Linked DNA regions of Callithrix jacchus. The protein of the gene in region 3 purifies or fractionates together with the protein of the main gene of each other region. This does not show direct contact. Links are inferred from orthologs where the notes say so. Each region holds a gene or a part of one and is shown on either strand. Other genes may lie near its edges. The genes, in order: CARD11, CSNK1A1 and MALT1.

Region 1 (4,757 bases), on a different chromosome or scaffold from region 3:
GTGTGGCACCACCTGCCTGGCCAGCCCTCACTGCCGCAGCCCCCATTCCTTTCCTGCCTTGCTTCTCCCTTATATCATTTGTGACTCTTAATGCTAGGGACCATGCCCCTTCATGCTGTTCACTGGAAATTCCAAACCCATTCTTTTTATTTTTATTTTTATTTTGAGATGGAGTCTTGCTCTGTTGCCCAGGCTGGAGTGCAGTGGCGTGATCTCAGCTCACTGCAACCTCCGTCTCCCAGGTCCAAGCAATTGTCCTGCCTCAGCCTCCTGAGTACCTGGGACTATAGGCACGCACCACCATGCCTGGCTAAGTTTTGTATTTTTAGTAGAGATGGGGTTTCATCATGTTGCCAGGCTGGTCTCGAACTACTGACCTCAAATGATTCACCCGCCTCGGCCTCCCAAATTTGGGATTACAGGCATGAGCCACTGCGCCCGGCTACATCCTTTTAATTTCTAATTGTGCTAAGATATGCATAAAATAAAATCGACCGTTTTACTTATTCTTTCAGTGAAGAATTTAGTAGCATTAGGTATGTTCTGTGTAGCATTAGGTATACACTGCTGTGCAACCATCTCCAGACTTCCTCATCTTCCCAAACTGCAACTCTGGACCAATAAAATACTCACGCCCCATCTTCCCTCCCGCAGTCTCTGGGAACCACCCTTCTACTTCCTGTCTCCAGGAATCTGACTGCTCTAGAGACCTTATATAAGTGGAATCGGATACAGCACGTGTGTTTTTGTGATTGGCTTATTTGACGGAATAACGTCCTCAAGGTTCACCCATGTTGACGTGGGTGTCAGAATCTCCTTCCTTTTGAAGGCTGAATAATATTCCACTGTATGGGCTGGGCATGGTGGCTCACATCTATAATGCTAGCACTCTGGGAGGCTGAGGGGGAGGATAACTTGAAGTCAGGAGTTCGAGACCAGCCCGGGCAACATGGTGAAACCCCATCTCTAGTAAAAATACACAAATTAGCCAGGCATGGTGGCAGGCACCTGTTATCCCAGCTACTTGGGAGGCTGAGACAGGAGAATCACTTGAACCCGGGAAGCGGAGGCTGCAGTGAGCTGAGATGGCACCACTGTACTCCAGCCTAGGCAACAGAGCAAGACTCCATCTCAAAAAAAAAAAAAAAAACCACCCAAAAAATCATACAGCATTTTTGGTGCAGTACACTCTGCACCACAAACACATTTCCAGGCAGGACGGATGGGGAAGGGGGACTATAGGCATGTACCAGGCTATAATTTCTCTTATATTAACATGTATTATGATTTCTTTATTTCAAGTCTTTTTGGTTAACAGTTTGCAAGGTTTTCAGCTCTTAACACCTTCCTAACCTGTGTGGACGGGCCCCATTGTGTGTATTCACTCCCCGCTGATGGACCCTTAGGTGACTTCCAGGTTTTGGCTATTGGGAGTGACGCTGGTGTGAATGCCGGCGTGGAAATATCTCTTAGAGACTCTGCTTTCAGTTCCCTTGGGGATATGCCCGCAGGTGGGTTGATGGATCCTGTGGTCTTCTATTTCTAATTTTTGAGGAAGCGCCATGCCGTCCTCCACAGGGGCTGCTCTACTTTGCACTTTCAGCAGCAGCGTGCTGGGTTCTGACATCTAACCTCCTCACCAACACTTGTCAGTTTCTGCATTTTCAGTCTTAGCCAGCCTAAAGGATGTGAGGTATTGAGTGGGGATGTCTGTCTCTTTTGCTCACTGCTGGGTTCCCCAGAGCCTAACCCTTCACAGGAGCTCAGTAAGTATCTGGTGAAAAGAAATGAAGGGGCCTAACCCCTCCCAGTCTCAGTGATTCCCTCTGTAAAGTGGCAGCAGGACATTTATTTTGCAGATGCATGTCAGGAGGGGCAAGGATCTGAGATGAAGCCGCTGGAGGGCAAGTCTGTCCTCATCACCCAGGCTCCAAACCTCAGCACCATCCTTTTTTTTTTTTTTTTGAGCTGGAGTCTCTCTCTCTTGCCTAGGCTGGAGTGCAGTGGTGCAATCTCAGCTTATAGCAACCTCCACCTCCTATGTTCAAGTGATTCTCCTGTTTCAGCCTCCTAAATAGCTGGGACTACAGGGGTGCACCCCCACATCCAGCTAATTTTTGTATTTTTTTTTTCTAGATAGAGTCTCACTCTGCCACCCAGGCTGGAGTGCAGTGGCACAATCTCGGCTCACTGCAACCTCCACCTCCTGGATTCAAGTGTAGATGGGATTACAGGCATGTGCCACCACACCTGGCTTATTTTTGTATTTTTCAGTAGAGACGTGATTTCACCATGTTGACCAGGCTGTCATGAGGTCAAACTCCTGACCTCATGATCCACCTGCATCGGCCTCCCAGAGTGCTGGGATTACAGGCCTGAGCCACCATGCCCGGCTTAATTTTTGTATTTTTGGTAGAGATGGGGTTTCACCATGTTGGCCACGCTTGTCTCAAATACCCAGCTTCAGCTGATCCGCCCACCTTGGCCTTCCAAAGTGTGGGATGACAGGTGTGACCTACTGCGCCTGGCCTCTCGTTCTTTGGAACCCCAGAGTAAACCCTTTCCTGAATCTTGCAGGCTTGGTCCTGAACACAGGTCCAGAGTCGGACTGCCTCTCATCGCCTCCCAGACAGGATCCTCACTTACAGCCGTGGGTCTCGCTGATGCATCCTGAAGGCCTTCCCTGACCACCCCGGGTGATGTGCACTCCACCCCGTCCCTCCTAACTCTTGTCCCCCATGATGTATCCCATGTGTGTGAGTCACCACCTCGGCCGCTGCCCTAGGTGTCAGCTCTGAAGGGACGGTCCCGTACTTGGTGAGGGTTTACTAAGGGGTGCATGAGGTGGGGCACACAGGCATCCTGTCCTCCACTGAGGCTTGATGGGGTGCTAGGGACAGGAGGGGCAGCCCCCAGGGGTCTCGGAGCCCTACCTGAACCTCTTGATGTTCTTCTCACACACCCTGATGAAGAGCACGATGGGGTAGATGTTGGCCTTGATCAAGGCTCTCGCGCAGCTGATCCCAGCCTCCAGCAGGCAGTGCTTGTTCTGCGGGCACAGTGGCTTCAGTCAGCAGCAGCCCACCCACCTCCTGCTCCTATGAAGGTGCATGTGGTGGGGCCTGGATGCAGGGTTGGGGTCGATAGTGGGGTGGGAGCCCTGAAAGCCACCTGCCACTGATCCAGGAGATAAGACTCCCCATGAGTCAGGATACTCCAGGACTCTGCTGACCACAGTGCTGTTCATGGGCAGAGATGAGGCCCCGGCTGCGGTGAACCAGGTGGTGTGAATGAGTTTGAATGAAACACCTGCTACCAGCCTGGCATGGTGGCTCACGCCTGTAATCCTTGTGCTTTGGGAGGCTGAGGCGAGCGGATCACTTGAGGTCAGGAGTTCGAGACCAGCCTGATCAACATGGCGAAACCCCGTCTCTATTAAAAGTACAAAAATTAGCCAGGCGTGGTGGCATGCACCTGTAATCCCAGCTAGTCAGGAGGCTGAGGCACGAGTATTGCTTGAACCCAGGAAGCGGAGGTTGCAGTGAGCCGAGATGGTGCCATTGCACTCCAGCCTGGGTGACAGAGCAAGACTCTGTCTCAAACACACACACATACACACACACACACACACACATACACACACACACAAAACCCCCTAAACACCTGCTACCCTAGCCAGCCTTCAAGTAAGAGGGTAGGGAACACATGGGGGAGGCAGTCAGGCTGGCCAGTCCCAAGAGTATCTGCAAGGGTCCTCAACCAGGAGCTCATCATTTTGAGAAAGGACCATCTATGTTTTGCTGAAGGCATTGCTTAAAAAAAATTCCACCAAACGTTGGCCAGGCACAATGGTTCATGCCAGCAATCCCAGCACTTTGAGAGGTGGGAGGATTGCTTGACACTAGGAGTTTGAGAGCTGGGCAACATAACAAGACCCTATCTCTAAAAAAATTTAAAAATCATTAGCTGGGCATGGTGGTGCATAACCATAGTCCTAGCTGCTCGGGAGGCAGTGGGGGAGGGTTGCTTGAGTCTAGAAGTCTCGGCTGCAGTAGGCTCTAATCGTGTCACTGCACTCCAGCCTGGGCAACAGAGCGCGACCGACTCTAAATCAATACAACATTAAACTTTGCATTGGAATGGAACATAAATAGAGCATTTTAAGTTCGCAGCTCAATAAATTTTGCACACTGAACACAGCCTGGAACTAGCATCCGTGTCTGGAGGCGGGAATGGCCAGCCCAGAGCCCTGCTTAGCCTCCCGCAGACCCCTGCTCTCCATTCCCTGCCAGCAGGACCATGGCCTACATTTCTAAGAGCACAGATCTGTGGGACAGCCGTCGGATCTTCTTTTCAGCTAAAAACAATCTTGGCTCAAGCCCTGCCCACTTGCTTTTTATCCACTCCAGCTGTCAGAATTTCCTAAACTGCTGTGGCCCAGACTTTAAAAAACACCATCACTTGCTCTTGGTGTCCCCAAGGTCAGCGTCCACCATGGAGCCAGCCCCTGGCAGCTGGGGGAGCACACCACTAATGCAGAGTGACAACTCTTCCTTCATCGGGTGCTGGGATGAGGAAGAACTCAATGCTTAGGTCACGCCGTCTGCCTCAAAGACTCTATAATGCACACGATCTCTGCATCGTCGCTAATAACACTTGTGACGTCCCATTTTCCCCTTGTTTGGTGAATGGGATACCTGTCACCTTCACGTTCGTTCTGCCTCTTGCCCTGATGAGCTCATTCTCTATCTCTGGCC
Region 2 (6,636 bases), on a different chromosome or scaffold from region 3:
CAATCAGTGGGTGTAAGGGGCCTTATTTTCCCACACAGGATTTTTTTAAAGACAAGAACCATTTAAAAACCTCAAATCAGGCCCGGCACAGTGGCTCACACCTGTAATCCTATCACTTTGGGAGGCCCAGGTGGGTGGATCACCTGAAGTCAGGAGTTCAAAACCAGCCTGGCCATCAGGGTGAAACCCCATCTTTAAAAAAATAATAATAAATAAATAAATAAAATTTTAAAAAATAAATAAATTGAAACCTCAAATCTGTATCATCTTAGATTTCACATTAATCTTTACGTCAAAAGATAAATTTGGAATTTTCTTCCAAGTGATTTACCTGCCCATTTACAACCAATAGCAAATTTTATCATTCAGTTCTCCGTCAAAACTAACAGCTGGCCCGGCGCGGTGGCTCACGCCAGTAATCCCCAGCACTTTGGGAGGCCGAGGCAGGTGGATCACCTGAGGTCAGGAGTTCAAGACCAGCCTGACCAATACAGTGAAACCCCGTCCCTTCAAAAAAAAAAAAAAATTTTTTTTTTAATAGAAAATAAAAACTAACAGCTTTGGAACTTTTTTTTAGGATAGTTTTATTTGTGTTGTTTCCATGTAAGCACTATGCAATCCAGTCCTTAATTCAAGATCTGAAAAAAAAAAAACCTGAAATAGAAAAGGGGCTACAAGCCTGGCATAGTGCCTCACGCCTATAATTCCAGCACTTTGGGAGGCCATGCCAGTAGATCACCTGAGGTCAGGAGTTTGAGACCACCCTGGCCAACATGGTGAAACCTCATCTCTACTAAACAAACAAAAAATTAGCTGGGCATGGTGGCGCAGGCCTGTAATTCCAGATACTTAGGAGGCTGAGGCAGGAGGATCGCTTGAACCCGGGAGTCGAAGGTTGCAGTGAGTCGAGATGGTGCCACTGTACTCCAGCCTGGGCAACAGAGTAAGACTCCTCTCAAAAAAAAAAAAAAGCCAGGATTGGTGGCTCACACCCATAATCCCAGCATTTTCGGAGGCTGAGGTGGGAAAATGACCTGAGGTCAGGAGTTCCAGGCCAGCCTGACAAACGTGGTGAAACCCCTTTTCTACTAAAAATACAAAAATTAGGCCAGGCGTGGCGGCTCACACCTGTAATCCCGGCACTTTGGGAGGCCGAGAGAGCAGGTCACGAGGCCAGGAGATGGAGACCATCTGGCTAAGATGGTGAAACCCCGTCTCTACTAAAAATACAAAAAATTAGCTGGGCGTGGTGGCACCAGCCTGTAGTCCCAGCTACTCTGGAGCCTGAGGCACAAGAATCGTTTGAACCTGGGAGGCACAGGTTGCAGTGAGCAGAGATCGTGTGACTGCGCTCCAACCTAGGTGGCAAGAGCAAAAACGCCATTTCAAAACAAAAACAACAACAACAAAACAAAAAAAGAGGCTCCAGTAAACAGTAAATACCATTCTCAACTATTCTGAAAATTTTTGCAAATTTTTTTTTATTATCGCTGGAAAACAGCTGGGTTTTAAACTACATTTTAGTCTCTATTCCATGAAGAGGCTCTTTTAATCCCTAAAGTCAAAACATTACTCTAAAACCCTCAAGAGTTGACGGAACAATGTATTTCTATCTCGTCACCTTGTATCCTCATTACCACTATTTGTATCCACCAATATTCCACACCAAAAAAGGCCACAATTTCTCTGATGTTAAAATTTACTGATAAACTCAACAGGTTAAAATTACTTATCAAAGTGTGGCTAAGTGATTAAGCTCTCTTTTAATAAAACTGAGCTGAGTAAATTTTAACATGGTGGTGCTCAAACTGCCTCTGCCACTATCTATACAAATTTAGTTTGGACTGAAAAGTGACAAACATGACCATTCACTAAAGGAAAGAGTAATTAACACTTTTAAAAGAACTACAAAGGATTTTACATAGTATAATTCAACAATTTCGTATCATATCTGCTGACGAGATCACAAACATTGTCACTATGCCATGTCCTTCCTGGAACCCCACTGGCTCCTGCAGCTTTATTCTTGACTTTTTCAAAGGTTTAAACCACTTGGGGCTGCTGAAGGAGGTATCAAGGAAGCATAATTTGTGAACCCAAGCTGAGAAAAGGGCAGGAATATGGGGTTGAGTCACGTCGTTCCGCCATTTTCTAAGCGGAGGAGGAAGACATGTTGGAACAAAAACACAACAAAAGAGCAGCCATTTCCCAAGCCAGCTCCAATAGCAACCCGAAATGACACTGCCCTGTCGCTTCGCCACCTTCAAATCCACTTCACTGAGCAAACCTCTGAACACCAGACATGCCGCCGTAAAAAAGGCAGCAGTCAAACCTTCCGCGTAGAGATCAAAGATGACCTGCACACTTTACTGCAAATGAAAGCCTCGGGAAGAGGGAGAAATGACGGAAGCGAAATGGGACACAGTGTAATACAATGAAATTTTAAACTAAGTTAGCAAACTGAAATTTACTCAGTGATTGCGATAACTGACTTACAGGAAGCCACTAGCTGTAGGGAACCCAGGTAACTGAAACACCAAGACCTGGATTCAGCTGGTCTCCTTACCTGCCTCTACCCACTTCCCCATTCCGTGCTTCCCTCAGCAGACCGCCTATATGCACAGGGTTCTTACCGTATGTGGGGGATGCCAACCCCACCTTGAAGAATCTTATAGAGCTTGCTCTCGTACAGCAACTGGGGATGCCTGGCCTTCTGAGATTCTAGCTTCACTGCCACTTCCTGCAGGGGAAAGAGGGATGATGGCATCAACATCCCTACGGATTCAATGTCACTTAGGAAAGGAGGGAGAGACATTAGCAAAACTCCAAGTCGCGACTACAGGGAAAAAGCGAAAGACTGGAAAGAGAAAGCTCTCTGTAATTATAAAATGAGGCAACCAGCCTCTTCAGGGGGTAGTGACGAAATCCCTACCTCTTCTAAAGTGCAGGAAAATGATTCATCCAGAAAAAAAGAGGCAACCTCTGAACGTAATGAGAGGTTTTTAAGGAACTAGGCGATCGGAAACTGTTCTAATTGGAATAAGAGGCCAGCAGAATTAAAAATAAAATAAAATAAAAGCATGGGAATCACAGAAATAGGATTTTGCCGTTTCCACCTTAAAAAACGGTTAAAAAAAAAAAAGTTCAACTAAGGGACATTTATGGGACGTGTTTAACAAGCTGGGAACCTTCCCCAACCTTTCTATCGGGTTCTTGATCCTTTTAGGGAAAGAGCGGGGGAGGTTCAAAAGCCAGGAAAACTAGCTCTCTGGACTCCCTGACGAGTGCGTGCGGTGGGGAGAGGCCCAAGCACTTTAGGGGTGCGCGGTGGTGGGGGCGGGGAATGAGGAAATGCCCAGCGTTATCGTCAACCCTACCCCAGGTGATTACCTCGCCGTTGGTGATGTTGATCGCCAGATAGATGTCCCCGAAGGAGCCAGACCCGATCTTCCGTACCAGTTTGTATTTCCCTCCGACAATGAATTCGGCCTTGGAGCCGCTGCTGCTCGCCATCCTGAGAGACGAAGATGGAGGCTGGGGCCAAGCCCCGACACCTCTGAGGGGAAGACGGAGACCTCTCGAGCTCCTACACCGGGCAAGGCTACGGAGGAAGGCAGCAGGAAACGGAACACAGAGGCCTTTACCGGCGTTCGGGGCCCAGAATCAGCCGAGGGGAACCTGATCACCACCGCTCAGTCAGGTTTCTTTTTGCCAGGCCGCACTTTGTGAAGGGCTTCTCGCGGCTACCAGGCTGGGCCACTTGTTCTCGTTGGCGGCCGATGCCTGCTTGAGCGGCGACGTCGCGGGCAGGAAAAGGGGCGCGGTGAGCTAGGGCGGCGATACCACTGCCAGCACTGCTGCTGGCTCCGGCCCGGAGGGACCCCTGTCACTCCGCCGACGACGCCATCTTGTTACTCCAGCTCCAGCCAACACAAAATGCCCCCAGTCCCCGGGAGCCGCTTCTTCACGGCGCAGAGCACTCTGGGAAAGGGATCTCGGGCGCTCGCTCCGGAGGATCTGCAGCCAGAGGGAGGGCGGAACCGGATCCGTGAGAGTCGCGGCCCACGCTCCAAGCGTCACCTCGTCACCGCCCAGCTGCGCATGAGCACTGTAACTCCTGCTGACTGCGCAGGCGTGCCGCGGCTGGTACTCACCCCGCCCCAGGCTCTCTTCCACTTCCGGTTGGCGGCTGTTCAGCCGGTGCTACCTGTTACCACGGACCCGCCCGGACCCGCCCGGTCTCTGGAAGGCTGAGTGGCCTCAGGCACCGATGTCAGGGAGAAGTCACCTTCCCGTTTCCTAACAGATAAAAGCTTCAGGCCTCCTTAGGAGTTTGGTATTGACCTTTGCTCTTTGTTTCAGGAGGTTTTTTTTTTTTTTTTTTTGAGACGGAGTTTCACTCTTGTTACCCAGGCTGGAGTGCAATGGCGCGATCTCGGCTCACCGCAGCCTCCGCCTCCTGGGTTCAAGCAATTCTCCTGCCTCAGCCTCCCGAGTAGCTGGGATTACAGGCCCACGCCACTATGCCCAGCCAATTTTTTTTTTTGTACTTTTAGTAGAGACAGGGTTTCACCATGTTGACCAGGATGGTCTCGATCTCTTGACCTCGTGATCCACCCGCCTCGGCCTCCCAAAGTGCTGGGATTATAGGTATGAGCCACCGCGCCCGGCCTGTTTCAGGCGGTTTTTAATCTTTGATCTTCTGGCCGCTCCCCCCGACCGGCCTATTGCAACCAAGTTTCTGTTTGGAAAGAGGCTATCGCCTCTGGTGGAGAAGAAGAGAAAAGCAGCCCGCGTATCGGGCTGATCGAATCGTTCAGGGCTCTCGGTTGTAGCAAAGCCCAGCTAATTACCCTTCATAAATAGAACTGTGTTCTCTACTACGGAGTGTTAGAGACCCTGTTTGCTCAGGAGGGGAAAAAAGAAGCCGGAATCCTCCTACCGTCCTTTGTCTTTGCATTATTGCCCCACTACCACATTTGATCTTCATGAGAAAACCGGGTATCTTGCCATAATGAAGATTAGTAATAGGTGGAATCAACAGAAAATTAACAAGAGTGAAAAAACTGTTCTAGCCCTCCTCCCAATCCCACCAAAAAAACGAAAAAAAAAAAAAGAATCATATGTTGGTCATATGGAAAACCTCAATATTAACCTTAACATATAGCAGAGGTAACTGTCGCAAAACATAATTGACAACATTTAAAACCATATGGTAGCCAGGGGCACGGTGGCTCACGCCTGTAATCCCAGCACTTTGGGAGGCTGAGGCGGGGGTATCACGAGGACAAGAGATCAAGACTATCCTGGCCAACATGGTGAAACCCCATCTCTACTAAAAATACAAAAATTAGCTGGGCGTGATGGCAGGCGCCTGTAGTCCTAGGTACTCAGGAGGCTGAGAGAGGAGAATCGCTTGAACCTGGGAGATGGAGGTTGCAGTGAGCCAAGATCATGCCTCTGCACTCCAGCTGGGTGACAGAGTAAGACTGTGTCTCAAAAACAAAACAAACTACACGGTAATTTTTTTCTTTTTACTAAAAATAGATCAGAGAATGAAATCTTGACCACATATTGTTTTACAAAATTTGATGGCCAGGAGTGGTGGCTCACGCCTGTAATCCCAGCACTTTGGGAGGCCAAGGTGTTTGGATCACCAGAGGTCAGAATTCAAGACTAGCTGGACAACATGGTGAAACCCCATCTCCACTAAAAATACAAAAATCTGCCATGTGTGGTGGCACACACTTGTAACCCCAGCTTCTCGGGAAGCTGAGAATCATTTGAACCCGGAAGGCAGAGATTGTGGTGAGCGTAGATCACGCCACTGCACTTTCAACCCGGGCAACAGAGAGACCCTGTCTCAAAAAAAAAATTATAAGTACAAATGGAAAAAAATGTGAAGTATTTTAACTGCAACTTTGAAAGCTGATCAGGTAATTAGTAATAGGGTTCATCTTGGAAGAGATCTTAACTGAAGAGAGAGGGGAAAAGACTTCCCCTAAGGTTTAGCATGAAGTTTTAAAGCACAACCAACACCTGGGGTGCCCAACTCCCAAATCAGCCCTATTAGACATCATTTGCCTTTGGTGACTCGAAAGCACATTTTGACTAAGTTAAAATCTGCTGTTAAACTCTGGTCTAAAATTAAAAAAAAAAAAAAGCCAAATATGGCTAGACATGGTGGCTCACACCTGTAATCCCAGCACTTTGGGAAGCCTAGGCAGGTGGATCACCTGAGGTCAGGAGTTCAGGACCAGCCTGACCAACATATAGAAACTGTCTCTACTAAAAATGCAAAATTAGCTGAGTGTGGTGGCACATTCCTGTAATCCCAGCTACTCAGGGGGCTAAGGCAAGAGAATCGCTTGAACCCGAGAAGCAGAGGCTGTGGTGAGCCGAGATCATACCGTCATACTCCAGCCTGGTCCCTGGGCAACAAAAGCAAAACTTCATCTCAAAAAAAAAAAAGCCAAGTTTAAGCATCTTGAGTTTTCCAGAGATCACTACTATTTTGCTAATTTTCTTTCTTTTTTTTTTTTTTTTTTGAGACGGAGTTTCGCTCTTGTTACCCAGGCTGGAGTGCAATGGCGTGATCTCGGCTCTCCGCAACCTCCGCCTCCTGGGTTCAGGCAA
Region 3 (5,896 bases):
AAGCACAATGTCACTGAATGGCCACACTATAGTTTAACGTTCTGTTAACTCTTGAATTATAATACTTCCAGGTTTTATTGTTTTTCTATCATAGTTAATCTTTGTTTGTATATATGTAATGCTTTAAGGTTGTTAGGTATAGCTATGCGATTGTTCCTTTACATATGGGACAAATTATTATTATTTTATTTTTTTGAGACGGAGTTTCGCTCTTGTTACCCAGGCTGGAGTGCAATGGTGCAATCTCGGCTCACCGCAACCTCGGCCTCCTGGGCTCAGGCAATTCTCCTGCTTCAGCCTCCTGAGTAGCTGGGATTACAGGCACGTGCCACCATGCCCAGCTAATTTTTTGTATTTTTAGTAGAGACGGGGTTTCACCATGTTGACCTGGATGGTCTCGATCTCTTGACCTTGTGATCCACCCGCCTCGGCCTCCCAAAGTGCTGGGATTACAGGCGTGAGCCACCGCGCCCGGCCCGGGACAAATTATTTTTAATTTACATGGAATATAAAGTTTTACCATAACATGTCCAAAACAGTTTTAATAATTTTTAAAACAACTGTCTACTTGATGGGATTAAAAAGTAGAAAGATATCATCATAGTTTTAATTATTCCTTAGTTACTTAAATTAGCCATTTTTAAGATTTCTTTCTCAATTAATATACTTCTAGAAATGTGGATTATTGAATTTGCATCCATTTGCTTGTTTACTGAGGAGTCTTAATTTTTTTCTCTTAGCATTTTGTATGAGCTCATTATTAAAAAATATTTTAAAAATGACCTACTTGATTAAATTCGTTACAAATACTTTTTTTTTTTTTTTTTTGAGATGGAGTCTCACTCTGTCACCAAGCTGGAGTGTGGTGGTGTGATCTTAGCTCACTGCAACCTCCGTCTCTTGGGTTCAAGTGATTCTCCTGCCTCAGCTTCCTTAGTAGCTAGAACTACAGGTGCATGTCACCACATCCAGCTAATTTTTTTCTGTTTTTAGCAGAGATGGTGTTTTACCATGTTGGCCAGGATGATCTTGATCTCCTGACCTTGTGATCCTCCCACCTCAGCCCCCTAAAGTGCTGGGATTACACCATGCCTGGCCTGTTACAAATACTTTCTCTATGACCTTTTAGTGTTATGAGGTTTCGTTTACTGTTGATCTTTACCCCTATAATTTTGTTATTGTTTGTTCTTTAGATCTTCTATAGAGAAAAGACATTCAATTTTAATTACTTCTCCAGTTATCTGGAATGGTGAGATATTTATGGCATTTTACATTTTAATGTGCTTTAATATGTTAACTTACCAAAAATATATATTGGAGAACAATTTTTTTTTTTTTTTGAGACCGTTTTCAGGCTGGAGTGCAATAGTGCAACCTTGGCTTACTGCAACCTCCAACTCCTGTGTTCATGCGATTCTCCTGGCTCAGTATTCAGAGTAACTGGGATTATAGGTGCTCAGCTAATTTTTATATTTTTAGTAGAGAGGGAGTTTCACCATGTTGGCCAGGCTGGTCTTGAACTCCTGACCTCAGGTGATCCACCCATCTCGGCCTCCCAAAGTGCTGGGATTACAGACATGAGCCACCAAGCCTGGCCAAGAACAAAAATTATTGTAAAAATATTTTATGGAACTTCAATAAATACAATTATAAGAGACTCACAGAATAGATACTTGGACTCAGAAAATCCACAATATTTCAATCAGTAATTTAAACGTATTTTTTCATTAAACCATATACAATTACCCAAAGGTAATTATGCTACAGACTGATTGTTGATCAACCTATTTGATCAACCTACTGATCAAGTATCCAAGAGAGGATGCTGAGTTATATTAGTAATCACAAGCACAGAGGATTTGCTGAGTGCCATGCTCATTTCTACCTGTGCCATCACTCAATCCCAATAACCTACGAAGCAGGTACTATTTATTTTATTTTCGAGATGGAGTCATGTTCTGTTACCCAGACTGGAGTGCAGTGGCACAGTCTCTGCTCACTGCACTGCAACCTCTACCTCCAACGTGCAAGGGATTCTCTTGTATCAGTGCCTAGTGGTTGGAATTACAGGAACATGCCACCACGCCCTGCTAACTTTTTGTGTTTTTAGTAGAGACAAGGTTTTGCCATGTTTCCCAGGCTGGTCTTGAACTCCTAACCTCAGGTGATCTACCTGCTTTAGCCTCCCAAAGTGCTAGGTTTACAGGTGTGAGTCACTGCGCCTGGCCTGAAACAGATACTATTTCTTATTCATGTTATAGATAACATGTTCATAGATTGGTTCAGACTGGATCAGACCCCAAATCCACGAATTTTGACAGCTGCACACTTTAACAGGTCGCAATACAGGAGAATCTAAGGGATTATGTATTAGACAAATGGAAAATTAACCTATTTTTAAAATAGAAAAATTTTTAAATGGTTATTTTAATTTTACCAATAGTGAAAATAATGGGCTAAATAATTTGTATTTCCAACATCAAATAAACCAGTGTAATTAATATCCATAATTGAAACATTTGTTTGGTTTGAGATTTGTCTGGTAGGCCAAAATATTTTCATTGTAAAACTGGGAGGAAAGTTAGTTATTCAGAAGAAGAAAACTATATGACTTAAGATAAATATATTATAGATCAAACAAAAAACAGACTTTACTATACCATGAGCCTTGGCCCACTGTAGATTCCGCACCAGAGATTCTGCAGAATATTCTGTTCCCTGTATTGGATCAGTAAGTGCTCTCTTCTCAGATAAACTACTTCGAATCTCTAAAGCCTGTTTGCCTTTGGTAAGGTGACACTTACCCATATCTAAAAGATATGAAAAGAAATATTATTTTTTTGAGATGAAATCTCGCTCTGCTGCCCAACCCAAGCTGGAGTGCAGTGGTGTGATCTCAGCTCACTGCAACCTCTGCCTCAGCCTCCCGAATAGCTGGGATTACAGGTGCCCAGCTATTTTGTATTTTTAGTTTTGAACGCCTGACCTCATGATCCACCTGCCTCTCTGCTTCCCAAAGTGCTGGATCACAGGCACGAGCCACCATGTTCGGCCAATACTATTTTAAGACCACCAATTCTTATGTTTTAAATATTTAGGCTAATAACTACCCTACGTTATCAGGTTACATTCTCAGTATCATTTATCCACTCAACAAATATTTCCTGAGCACCTACTATGTGGTAGACACAGCAGGCATGTTTTAATTTTTACTCATGTGTAGATATTCATAAATAGTATATGCCAATGTTTTACGTTTTTGAATTCAACAAAAATGTTACATGTATGTCTTTGTAATGTGCCATTTTCATTCAACATGTTTTAGATACAGACTAATGTATATGGATACACATCAGTTTAAATTTGGACTATCATGTTCTTTAAGTTATAGTTTATCCTACTTCTTTCTGCTATGTTATAAATTCACAATAGTAAGGTTCTTTAAAAAAAAAGAAAAAAAAGACAAAAATATTCAGTGATCCAGAACAAAGTCTAAGTTAAATCAGCCTGTTGGGGGTTAAAAGGAGACACCAAGTGTTGTAAAAGTACCTCAAAATTAGTATTTGTTGGAGAAGAAAAGATATAAAAAGGAAAATGAGCCAAATAAAAAAATTAGATAGTAAAAACAGATACAAAAAATAACAAACGCAAATGAACTTAATTTTCTCATTAAAAGACTCAGATTGGATTTTAAACAATTTGTTATATGATGCCTCCAAAAGCTACAGTAAAGCAGAACAACATGAAATGTTTGAAAGTAAAAGTGTAAAGAATAACATATTAGGTCAACAAAAAGGAAGCTGGTATGGCTCTATGACGATACAAAAAAACAAAAAGCATTATTTGGAATGGAGGCATCACTACATAATAAAACGTTCAATTCAGTAAGAAAATATAAACATTTAAAGCACAATAAAATAGTCATAATATGTATGTATTAGGAGTTCTATGTATGTATTAGTTATATGTATATAATAACTAATAACCCTAATATATGGTTAGGGTTATTAGTTATATGTATGTATTAGTTATATGTATGTAATAACTAATAACCCTAATACATGGTTAGGGTTAGGGTTATTAGTTATATGTATGTATTAGTTATATGTATTTATTATATGTAAGTATCTACTAATACATATTATGAAGTAAAAATTGCTATAATTACAAGAAAAATTAGGTAAATTGAGAGATTTCAGCATCTCAACTATTGATCAAAAATCAGCAGAAATACAGAACTGAACAAAAATTAATACGCCAAACCTAATGGGCATACATAAAGCTCTACAACCAGTCACTATAAAAATATCAATTTTTCTCAAGTACACATGCAAAATTGACAAAATTTCATCTTTTACTTGGCCATAATGAAAACTCACAAATTTCAAAGCATGGCAACTAGACAGAGTTTGTTTGATCACAAAGCAATTAAGGTAGAAATAAAAACTGAAAAGCTAAATAAAAATTCCTGCCGTGTTTGAAAATTAAAGACAATATTATATAACTTAAAGAAAAAGCAGAAATTAAAAAATCTAAACCTGTAGGATGTGATGAAAGTGATGTTCTAAGAGAGATATACAGACTTAGAAACTTAAACTGGAAAAAATAGGCTAAAAGTGAATGAACTATTTATGATGTTAGAAAAAGAATAAATGCAAGGCAAGACATAAACAAACAGAAGTTAATGATTTAGAAAACAGTGAAAAAGTAGAAGAAATCAACAGAGCCAAAGATTGGTTCTTCAATACAAAATAGCACAATGGGCCAAAGCTGGCAATAAAGAAAAAAGGAAAGCAGGTACAAGTAACACTGATGAAAAGGGGTGTGTAACTACAGAGAAAGCGGAGATTAAAGAATACTATTAGAAATATGGGCAACTAAATGACAACAAATCTGAAAATTGCCCAAATTCCTAGGAAAATATAACTTGTCAAAATTGACTCAAAAAAGAAATGAAAAGCCTACATGGTAAAAGAAATATTCAAGATATTAAAACAGTAGTTAAAAATCTACCAAAAACAAAACAAAACAAATCCTAGATTGGCTTATAGGCAAGTTCTCCCATAAACATTAGGGAAGAGATCATAATTTATAGAAAATTTCCCAGTAAACAACAGGGTGTACTCCTGTATTAGAGTTCTCCAGAGAAGCAGTACCAATAGGATGCGTGTATGCATACGTGCATGCATGCGTGTACGTGCATGTGTGTGTATATATATAGAGGGAGAAGAAGAGATTAACTTAAGGTATTGGTTTATGAAATTGTGGCAGTGCAAGTCTGAAATCTGCAGGGCAGGCAGGCAGGGTGGGGATGCAGAGAATAGTTGTAGTCTGAGCCCCAAAGGCAGGTTGCTGGCAAACTCCTTGCTTGTGGGAGGTCCGTCTTTGCTCCAGTAAGGCCTTCAGCTAACTGGATGACGTGCATCACCATTATGGAGGGCAATCTGATTTACTCAAAGTCCATCAATTTAAACTTTAATCTTGTCCAGAATAATGCTGGATCCATCACATCTTGAATAATCTAAATAACTAAATAAATACCTTGGCACTGAGGCCTAGTGAAAGTTGACATAAAATCAACCATCACAACCTCCATCTCATTCTACAAGGCCAGCACAACAATGATACTCTGCATGCCACGAATACTGATAACACTGATACCACTAAATACTAATTTTATTTTCTCATAAAATTAAACAACAACAACAAAAATTAAACCAAATACTATATGAAAGTAAAATTACAGGCCTATTTCCCATATGAAAATAGATACAAAAATTCTAAACAAAATGACAGCAAATTAAATCTAGTAGTGTATTAAAAATATATGCCAATGAAAATGATTTATCTCAAGTTGGATTAATTTTAGACTATCCATTAATTTAACTCACCATAT

What was found.
Region 1: the proteins of MALT1 (region 3) and CARD11 purify together in Homo sapiens (affinity purification with western blotting; 6 studies listed by BioGRID and IntAct, with this or other methods). This does not show direct contact. The link is inferred for Callithrix jacchus from reciprocal best matches to the Homo sapiens genes MALT1 and CARD11.
Region 2: the proteins of MALT1 (region 3) and CSNK1A1 purify together in Homo sapiens (affinity purification with western blotting; 3 studies listed by BioGRID and IntAct, with this or other methods). This does not show direct contact. The link is inferred for Callithrix jacchus from reciprocal best matches to the Homo sapiens genes MALT1 and CSNK1A1.

Annotation. Positions count from the first base shown.
Region 1 is NC_133503.1:19,482,006-19,486,762, reverse strand, and holds part of CARD11 (caspase recruitment domain-containing protein 11), read right to left. Parts: intron 3,050-4,757; coding exon 2,934-3,049; intron 1-2,933. UniProt on the Homo sapiens protein: Adapter protein that plays a key role in adaptive immune response by transducing the activation of NF-kappa-B downstream of T-cell receptor (TCR) and B-cell receptor (BCR) engagement.
Region 2 is NC_133503.1:48,238,499-48,245,134, forward strand, and holds the start of CSNK1A1 (casein kinase I), read right to left. Parts: upstream 4,022-6,636; 5' UTR 3,514-4,021; coding exon 3,391-3,513; intron 2,741-3,390; coding exon 2,634-2,740; intron 1-2,633.
Region 3 is NC_133514.1:101,763,242-101,769,137, reverse strand, and holds part of MALT1 (mucosa-associated lymphoid tissue lymphoma translocation protein 1), read right to left. Parts: intron 2,811-5,896; coding exon 2,661-2,810; intron 1-2,660. UniProt on the Homo sapiens protein: Protease that enhances BCL10-induced activation: acts via formation of CBM complexes that channel adaptive and innate immune signaling downstream of CARD domain-containing proteins (CARD9, CARD11 and CARD14) to activate NF-kappa-B and MAP kinase p38 pathways which stimulate expression of genes encoding pro-inflammatory cytokines and chemokines.